Linked DNA regions of Cricetulus griseus. The main gene of each other region encodes a partner of the protein of the gene in region 2 in a complex. Links are inferred from orthologs where the notes say so. Each region holds a gene or a part of one and is shown on either strand. Other genes may lie near its edges.

The links. Proteins that work in one complex are often made in the same cells at the same time.
Region 1: Zbp1 (region 2) and interferon-inducible protein AIM2 share a complex: the UniProt entries of both Homo sapiens proteins name them as parts of the AIM2 PANoptosome complex. The link is inferred for Cricetulus griseus from reciprocal best matches to the Homo sapiens genes ZBP1 and AIM2.

What each region holds. Positions count from the first base shown.
Region 1 is NC_048598.1:19,526,588-19,530,753, forward strand, and holds part of interferon-inducible protein AIM2, read right to left. Parts: coding exon 3,757-4,166; intron 1,637-3,756; coding exon 1,442-1,636; intron 699-1,441; coding exon 669-698; 3' UTR 1-668. UniProt on the Homo sapiens protein: Sensor component of the AIM2 inflammasome, which mediates inflammasome activation in response to the presence of double-stranded DNA (dsDNA) in the cytosol, leading to subsequent pyroptosis.
Region 2 is NC_048599.1:6,097,680-6,103,560, forward strand, and holds the start of Zbp1 (Z-DNA-binding protein 1), read left to right. Parts: upstream 1-2,367; 5' UTR 2,368-2,499; intron 2,500-2,712; 5' UTR 2,713-2,873; coding exon 2,874-2,913; intron 2,914-4,620; coding exon 4,621-4,857; intron 4,858-5,760; coding exon 5,761-5,881.

The DNA of each region.
Region 1 (4,166 bases), on a different chromosome or scaffold from region 2:
CCTTTAAAATCAGTTCACTAGTCCGGGGGAGCTGGCTAGGTTTCAGGAGTGATTTCTTTCTTGTTGAGTGGGTCTTAAGTCCAACTAAAGAATTGTTGGTTACCACTAAGGTATTCATGACACTAATTCACCCTTAAGGTTATTTTGCCATGGTGGTCATTTTTTTATGGTTCTTAGGCATCACAGCTGGGTATTACTGATGGTTGCTTCCCTCTTTTGGAAGCTTGTATGGCACCTTCTGTGATCATGAAAGATAATCAATACTTGGGTAGAAGATTGTCAGGTCAGTTAAAGCTCAAGCCTCTGAATCTCATGTCTGAAGTACATGGTATCTTCAGCAATATAAACTTATCATCACCTCTGGGGGACAATAGCAATAGAATAGCCTGTAATGTTTGGGGAGTCTCTTAGACAACCCTGACCAACTACTCATAAGAGGGTTTCTCATGCCTGGTGTTGGGATTTTATTAGATTTTTGTATTTGTATTGTTTTGCTATACATCTGACAGAGTATTTTTGTAGTATTTATCCTTTTTGAACTAACAGGATAAGATGATGAGGCTGTAAACTGCTCTCCTCAGGCAACTCAATCTGGTTCAAGAAGCAGTATTAAAATTCTTCAACAAAATGCCTTTTAGATGAGTTGACTTCAATGCACACTTTTCTTCTCATTTTTTCGGCTTTGTGGCCTTAATAACCTAGGTGGAGAAAAAGATGTAGACTGAGATGTCATTGATAAATTAAGTCTTCTCTACTTCCAGTTCCTGTGTTCTGGAATGTACCTCCCTTCTTATTGTATCTACTCACCCTCCCCCGTAGCCCCTTAATTCCTTCACTCTTAGATGACTCTCCTGAAGTATATATGCTCCAAACACACATCCCTACATAATAAGAGCATAGATAAAGTTTTCTCAGGTCTCTATATAAAACCTACAGAGAGAGACAACAGTCCATACAAACACTGTTGAGTGGAGGGGGAGACAGCAAAGCTGTGTCTATAGGATAACAACAAGGGTGTGATAGCTTACTTAACTGCCCTGGACTATGATATATGCACGAATGGTTGGACTGCCTCAGAAATTTGTTTTCCAGGAGTTTACAGTCTGACTTGACTTCTAACAGCATCTGTCACAATATTTGTGCAACTTCGCACAAGTTGCCTTCATTAGACTTAGACTGTGTTCAAGAAAACTCACTGTGGAGTTGAAAGGATGGGAGGGGGAGAAAATTGTATGTGAAACCTTTGAGTTTGTAATTGTGTGCCTAGGATGTGAATGTTCTAAAGCCAGGCTCCTTGGTTCTGTGAGATCTGTGAGATGCAGATGTGCTCACTACATACTGGGGCTCTTCTCTATCATATCCTGTTCAACAGCCTCTTTTCAGATTTCTGACAGAAAACATAAAATAATGTCCTCTTCTAGGAACTGACATCCTTCCAAACCTTAAAGAAGCTGTGGGGTCCCGATTTCAGCTGTATTTTCTCTCCACTTTTTGACACCTCAAAGAAGATGAGTCTAAGTTTATCTCCTTCTTCGCATTTTACTTGGTTCTGGTTTCCAAGCACCAGCACGTCCATCTCCTCCTCTGTGTTGTCATGTATTCTATATAGGACTCTATCCGTTCTTTGCTCTATTATCTGTGAAAGGAAGACAACAACCAAGCTCTGCTGAGATGACTAAGGAAGGGCAGCATGTACATCAATTGTCAGAGGAGACAGGAGCAGCTTTCCAAAGGAAACATGAGGAGCAATTCCAGCTTCCAAACTAGAAGGATTCTACCTAACGGATATTAGCAAGTCCCATTGAAGGGGGTGGGAGAGTCTTACTAAAAGCATGTTGCTTCTTGTGTACATCTTTCTAGTCCCAGGCTTTTTTTCCCTTCTGGGAATCCAGGATGGCTCACAGAAACAACTAGTAGACAGGGAAGATAGGTCTTCTCCAGGGCCAGTATACAGGAGGCAGTCAGGGGAAAAGGTGGCTACCTTGTGGCTAGGAGAAAGGTCACTTAATGAAACAAGTCCAGAGAAAAACTAACTAACAGTAAAAGACCTAGTGAAGAAATTTAAAAGTTAAAAGTCAAGGACAAGAAATCATTCACAATCAAGTCCAAATGATAAGGGACCAGATGCTGGTGACATACATAAAATATGAACAGCATTTGACAGTCAGTTTTATTGACCACATGATTAGACATTATGGGTAGTTGACCAAACAGAACATTCAAAATTGAGAGGTTAAAAAGAGGTATTTTTATGCTTGAAATTTCCAAGGAAGATAATTTTCTCCTGTTACCATTTCTGATGGGACTAGATAGGTCATTTGACTACTGAGTGCAGAAATCAACAAGTTCCCTGTACTAGAATCTATACTAGGCCAGAAAATTTTTCACACAAGCATAGTTTTTCCTGATTCCTGTGTGGTAGTTTGTATGAAAAAGGCCCCCACAGGTTCATAGGGAGTGGCATTATTAGAAAGAATTAGGATATGTGGCCTTGTTGATCTTGCTGTAGGAAATGTGTCCCTGGAGTTGGACTTGGAAGTTTTAGAAGCTCAAGCCGCGTCCAGTGGCTCACTCTCTCTTTCTGCTGCCTGTGGGTCCAGATGTAGAACTCTCAGCTACTTACTTCTTCTGCACCGTGTCTGCCTGAATGTCACCAAGCTCTCTGGCATAGTGATAACGGAGTAAACCTCTGAACCTGTAAGCCAGCCCCAATTAAATGTTCTCCTTTATAAGAGTTGCTGGGGGGTAGCCGGGCGTTGGTGGCGCACACCTTTAATCCTAGCACTCGGGAGGCAAAGGCAGGCGGATCTCTGTGAGTTTGAGGCCAGCCTGGTCTCCAGAGTGAGTGCCAGGATAGGCTTCAAAGCTACACAGAGAAACCCAGTCTTGGAAAACCAAAAAAAAAAAAAAAAAAAAAAAAAAAAAAAAAAAAGGAGTTGCTGGGGTCATGGTGTCTTTTCACAGCAACGGAAACCCTGACAAAGACAACTGGCATCTAGCTAGGATTTCATGCTAACTCTTCCATTATCTTCATTCAATACTAGGTCTTCTAACCCCTGCTCATCAATCCTCTAGTTCATCAATGGGCACACATCTGCTCCAAACAAAAGAGACTTTGAGCACTCAGGAGGCAGAGGCAGGCAGATCTCTGTGAGTTTGAGGCCAGCCTGGTCTTCAAAGAGAGTTCCAGGACAGTTCCAAAACCTATAGAGAAGCCCTGTCTTGAAAACAAACAAACAAACAAAAAGTGACTTAGAATGTGGATGGTAATAAGTGTGTAACAGCAACACAGAGGTGGAAATAGCTGTGTCTGTGTTTCAGAGGTTACAAGGGTAAAAACATAAATAAAAGTGGCTTCAAAATAAACCTTCACTGGCTGTTGTGGCATGCATGTGGATCCCAACACTCAGGAGGCAGAGGCAGGGGAATTTTGGTAAGTACCAGACCAGCTAAAGCTACACAGTATAAGACTCTGTCTCAAAAGACAAAACAAAAAAAAATACATATTAAATAAAGCTTTTGTGAGCTTTGCCCACAAGTTTTGGCAAATTCTCATCCTGCAAATCTTAATTTTATTAAATTGTTTTTTCTGATTGTTAAAATTGTTTAAACCCAATTATTTAATTGATTTTAATTGCTTCATATTTTATATAGGAAGAAAAACATTGAAACATAATTTCTAGAATTCCATTAAAGCTTAGAATAACTATTGTATTCTTTTTCCCAGTCAATACAGAATTGCATACATGGACTTACCTTCTGGACTTTAAAAATCCCATTCACAATTGTTCCAGGAGGCTGAGTCTTCAGCTTCTTAATCATGGGAGTTCTCCCAGCTTTATCTTTGATGTTATTTGGAACACAGACTTGGTGGTCAGCATCAGCCTCAACCACAGTTGAGGAGCTGGTCACCTCTAAGAAGTTATTGTACCAAAGATAGTTTGATATTTTAATTGTTCTCTGTGGGGTAAACTTATCTTTAAACTGTGCATCTAAAACTTTTACAAAGAAAAAATTCGTCTCTGTGGCCACCGTTGCATGGAATATCATTTGCTTCCCTTCCCGAGTTTCACACTCGAAAGGAATCGTAGCTTTCAGCACCAACAAAGCCAGGGGATCCTTCTGTAAACCTTCTCTGATGGCTTCCTGTTCTGCCATGACCCGGG
Region 2 (5,881 bases):
GGCCGTGTTCAAGGCCCGGGCTGAGAAGAGATGCCCAAGCGTGCTAGCCTCCAGTGGACAGAGTAACACTGAGACCCACTGATTGCTCTGTCTTGCAGGACGCCCACCCCCAGGGATTTGAAGAGGGGGCTCATCACCCCAACACACCTGCCATAAACTATCCCCTTGCTGTCACCAGCTATGTCTGACCTCTGACCAAACAAAGTTTGCAGCCTGCCTTCCTTTCTTCCTTTCTTCCTTCCTTCCTTTCTTCCTATCTTCCTTCCTTCCTTCCTTCCTTCCTTCCTTCCTTCCTTCCTTCCTTCCTTGCTTCCTTCCAGAGCCTGGTTATGGGGAGGGAAGGAGGTGGGTTTTGCCAACACAATATGTGGTAAAAATATCTCTCTTTTAAAAGAGAGATCACAAAACCTGAAGACTCGAGATCAGTAACATGTAATTATCCCCTGCTTTGGGCGGAGAGTTCTAATAGTTTCTAGAAAAACATGAGCCATTTGGAAGGAGCGTGCTCTCCAGGATAAAGAGAGCAGCTTGGCATGCCATTTGTATGTCTGGGCCCTTCCTAGCCTGGAGGAGGAAGCACCTACCTGCTTTCTTTCCTTTCTTCCCTCCTTCCCTCCCTCCCTCCCTCCCTCCTTCCCTCCCCATTGGCCTTGAACCCCATCAGACTCAGAGTAGCATCTGCTAGAGAAAGAAGCTGGGAAATGCTGGGTGGGGCAGGAGACGGCCTCCATGCAGAGGAAGAGCCTTGAGTTGACAAGGACACCTAGGTCTCTGCCAACATCTGTTGCGATAGATATTGCTGTGATCTGAAGTAGTGTTTGGGGCCTGCAGGATGTGATCTTTAAAGGGAGATGTCCATGGTGCTTGTTGAGTTTTTCCGGCTGTGATAAACACTATGACAGAAACAAACAAAACCCAGCTGGAGAGGAAAGGGTTTATTTCTGCGTACAGTTCACAGCCCATCTCAGAAAGAAGAGCTGTGAGAACCCGAAACAAAGATCGTTGAGGATGTTGCTTCCTGGCTCATGCTCAACCAGCTTTTTATTCACAGCCTAGGAATGATGCTGCCCACGGTGTTCTGGGTCCTCTCACACCAACCGTGATAATTCTCTCACAGACACATCCACAGCCAATCAGACCTGGGCAACCCTGCAACCGAGACTCCCTCAGATGGCCCTGTACTCAGCTGCCTGCTGAAACTGCCTAGGATACCCGTCCTTTGCTCCTTCCTGCCAGAAGGAGAGCATGTGTGACAGGTGGAACTCCAGCAACCCTTGAAAAACTTAAGCACAGAGGCTACAAATGGCAGAGCAACAGTTTAAAAAGAAGCCGGGTGGCTGCACCAAATCTGGAGTACCTGGAGTCTTGTGTCATGCACAAGAGGGAAAAGGTCCATCTGCCCAGTCCACAGCTGTGGAGGCTTGGGATAATCCCAGCATTGAAAATTGGCTTGAGGTTTTTCTTAAACAAAGACAAAGAATAAGAAATAATCCAAAAGTTTAGAAGGATTTTGGCCAGGCAATGGTGGAGCACGCCTTTAATCCCAGCCCTCGGGAGGCAGAGGCAGGCGGATCTCGGTGAGTTCCAGGCCAACCTGGTCTACAGAGCGAGTTCCAGGATAGGCAGGGCTACACAGTGAAACCTTGTCTGGGGGGACGAGGTGGGGGGTTGTCCAAGAGGTATTGTGATACAGTCCTGCCACTCAAGAAATGATAATGGAGGGGTCAAGAATCTGAATTCAGGCTTGGCTACAGAGTGGGACCCTGTCTCAAAAATTAAAAACAATAAAGAATAGGGAATGCTGAGATGTTCACAGCAGAACCCCAGTGTCAGGTTCTCATGGCATGTCCTGAAGCCCAGCCCTCTAGGGCCAGAGCCACCTTGGCCAAGGACCAAGCAAGACCCCCAGGCAAGAGCCGGTTGATGAGAGGGCACCACCTAGTGGTTGGTCCCCAAATAGCCCCTCTAGGGAGCCTGATGTCCCTCAACTGGCTCAGCTGAGTGTTTAAAGGGTGACCTTATTTATTTGGGGGGCTCAACGGGCTGTACAATTTTCTGTTTCCCTTAGCTGCATCTGCAGGCTCTGGGTTTCCCCCTGGAAGTCATAAAAATCATTTGGAAATTTTAAAGTTTCCCCATGCACAGGCCGGTGGAACTGGCTGTGTGGAACTGGCCTGGCCGTGGCCTGTCCAGTGACAAGGCTGACTGGGGACCTGCAGCTTGCTTTGCAGACATTTTGCAGGTACATATATACCTCCTTCTGGTCTCCATTTCCTGCTCCTGTCATGCCCTATGCACTAATGCTAACCGGTGCCAAGGACCTCCCTCCTGCAGCTGGGACCCAGATTCAGGGTTATTGTAGGCTGAGTTGTGGGCACGAGGCCATCTCTGTGAGCTCAGTCCCTTAGTCTGTAATTGGAACAGAGTGATGTCCGAACTGTTCGAGGACCACTGACCTCTTTGAGAATGTATGAAAGTGAGGGGCTCCTTTTCTAGAAGGTATGTGGATGACAGTACTAGTCCTGCCCTGTCAGCAAGTAGGGAATGCGCAGTAGGTACCTTTTTCCTAGTGGGAGTCCAGATAGGCAGTTCCCACCCCAGAGGCCAAGACTCCTCTCATCCCCGTCATTTATTCAGCTCCAACTTGCTCACCCCACCCTGATTTCAACGTTTCTTTCGAGAACCACCAAGTTTCATTTTCTCTTTCTCCAGAAAGCTGGGTGGATGGAGCCAGATGGGTGCTCGTTTCCGGGGTGGAAACATATGGTGTCTGCAGCTCCAAGAAGCCGCTCTTCTTCTGTGGACACGGCCTCAGGCCTGGCCACAGTTCGGGAATCTGCCACCCCCCGCCCCAAAGGTGCCCTGAGGTTGCCATGAGCATGGCAGAAGCTGCTGTTGATCCGAGCACAGGAGGTAAGCCGGGCGAGCCTCTTCCTTCCCCCACGCAGCGTGGACCCTGGGCTGGTTTCTAAGGCTCCTTCTAATTCTTTGCTTGGCCCAGACAGCAGCAATATTCTGAGGACATCAGAGCTCAGGAAGCAGGCACCACAAGAAGCTAGCTTGCTTCGGGGACCCTGTGCGTCACACTTTGACCCTTGCTTAGGCTGGTTCCTAACAGCCCTCAGGCACAAGTGGTAGCTCTCACCTCACAGACAGGTCACTGAGGCCTTCGATGGGCTTCAGGCTCTGAACTGTGAGAGGGGACTTTGTTTTGATAAGAAGATTTGGCTCTGATTCTATGTTCATGCTCTTCTCTCCGCTACAGGGCAGTGCGAGGCTGTGGGTGAAAGACTGTATGAGGCGAGGCTATCGGGGCCGTGCAGCTGTGGACAGGATTTACTTTACTGCTTTTCTTCATTGTTTCGAAACTTTTTTTAAAGATATGCTTATTTACTGTGTATACAGTGTTTTGCCTGAATGCACGGCTGTGCTCTGGTCAAAGAAGCACCAGGTCTCATTCTAGGTGATTGTGAGCCGCTCCGTGGTTCCCGGGAGCCACACTCAGCACCTCTGGAAGGGCAGCCACTGCTCTTAACTCCTGAGCCATCTCTGCAGCCCCCAAAGTCACCCTTTTCCATTCTCGCACCATGCTAGGGCATGTTGCTCAAAGGCAGAGGAGCCAGGGCAGTGGCAGGTTCAGGGCCAGGTGGAGAAGACCAGAAACTAACCCTCACCTGGTCCCTGTGGCTTCCTAATACTCTCCTTGCCAGCCAGTCACCACCATCCATTCCTTCATGCTCACCCTTTGGAGAAAGCTCTGCCTGTGTGCCCTTAGGAGTCAGTGGGAGAAGGGAGGGCAGGAGAGCCCACTGCAGGACATACACGCCCCAGCAGAGAAAAAGCAAGCAGAGTGGAAGCCCAGCCCTATAATCCCAGCAGGGGAGGGGGTGGCTGAGGCAGGAGGATTGCTGTGAGTTCCAGGCCAGCCTGAGATATATGGTGAGACCTTGTCTCAAGAGGAAAAACAAAGGAAGGTAGAAGCAGGCAGATGGAAGGAACCAGAAGGAGCACGAGGTGGAACTTGGGTGGCTCTTGGGGTCAGGCGCAGAGGAGGCTGGGCAGGGAGCAGAGGTCCATCGGATCTCTAGGTAGAGGGTGCTGGAGGGAACCATTCTGGAGTTGGTGGTCACCTGGGAGACTAGTAATGCTACCAGGAAGATGTCATTGAGGCTGGGGTAAGGGAGAAAAAAGTAAGTGGGAGGTATCTGAGCTGCGTTTTCAGGGCTCCTGATCCACCTGGAATGGGAAGGGAGACCTAGGAATGCCCATGGCATCCATGGGAGATGGAGAGAAAGGGACTCTCCATACAGGCTGGAAGAGGCACCAGGCAGCGTGGAGGGGCTTCCGGGCCAGGCTTGGCTCCATCATCTGAGAGCTGAGGGCTCCTACCTGTCTGGGGTTCCACACCAATACACAGGACAGCATGTACACTCCTCTGCCGTATGAGTGCATCCCACCATTCAGCCATGGGGCCAGGGTCCACTCAGTCTGACACTCTTGCCTCTCAGTGATTCCTCGATGCTGTCGGCTCTGGGTTCTCGTATCTTTCTTACCTCTGGAGATGGGTGCTAGCCTCCAATGGGGGCTGGGCTTGACTCTTCTCTCTGTTCCTCCCCCAAGACAATCTGGAGCAAACGATCCTACAGATACTGAGTGGAGCCGGCGGCTCTGTGAAGCTCCCCAAGCTGGTAAAGGAGTGCCAAGTGCCCAAGAAAACACTCAACCAAGTCCTTTACCGCCTAAAGAAGGAGGGAAAAGTTCACTCACCAGCCCCTGCCACATGGTGTTTAGGCAGGGATGCTCCTGGAGATGAGGCTCCTGCAATCCCTGAGGACCCCACTGCCCAGCCCACCCTCGGTAATCTGTCATTTGGGGGCACAGCAGACTCCCCTCAAGGGCCATCTTGACAATGGGCAAGTCCAGGTTCAGGCTTGGCTTTCAAATCTGAGCTCTGCCATCCTCTCTTTATCTTTTGATTTCTTTTCACCAATAGGGCTTGTACGTGGTAGGTGTGAGGTAGACACTAGCAATAGTAAAGGCACAATCCAGGCAATTGTCACAATGACAGTAGGGATTCACTCGGAGCCACTGAGCAGAGAGGGCTCACAGCTCCATTGCTGATGCTGTACCCAAGGCCACCTAGCCTTCAGCAACTCCTGCAGTTGGAGCCAGGAGAGGAGGCAGCCTCAAGACCCTGCCCTTCTGCAGCCAGCAGCTGTGACCCAAGCAGATGTGAAACCCTGGGACCCCAGCCTAATGTCCTGTCCCCTAGCTGTCCTGTGGAAGTGTTCCCGTTGCTCAGTGGATCAGAGCGTCTCCTGTCTCCAATGGACACATTTTTCTTCCTCCAGCCCCAAGACCCTAAAGTTGTAGGCACAACTCCAGGGAGTCCTGGCCTTCAGCTCAGTGCACACCAAAGGCCTCCCCAAACTACTCTTAGGGGCACAAGGGGAAAGGGTGTTTGGGATCATGTCCACCACCGAGGCTTCGCAAGAATCTCAGAGGCCAGACTCGGTGTCAGAAGCCAAAGGCTCCAAATGGATAAGAAGTGCTTTATTTTCCAGGCGCTGACACGCCTGAGCCAGCTTCATGCACATATCCGGTCTCCAGGTGACACTGTACCCAGTAGGAGCATGGGCCTCAAACAAAGCAAGACCATGCCCCTGGGCTTCATAAGCGCCCCAGGTTACAGCCAGTGGGTGCTGGGCAGACGCAAGCCCAGGGCCCTCTTCCTACTGAACGCCTGCCCCTCACTTGCAGATGAAAGAATCATCAGATTCCTGGAGACCAGCGGGCCTCACAGGGCCCTGCACATCGCCAAGGCTCTGGGGATGAAGACAGCCAAAGAGGTGAACCCACACCTGTACGCCATGAGGAACAG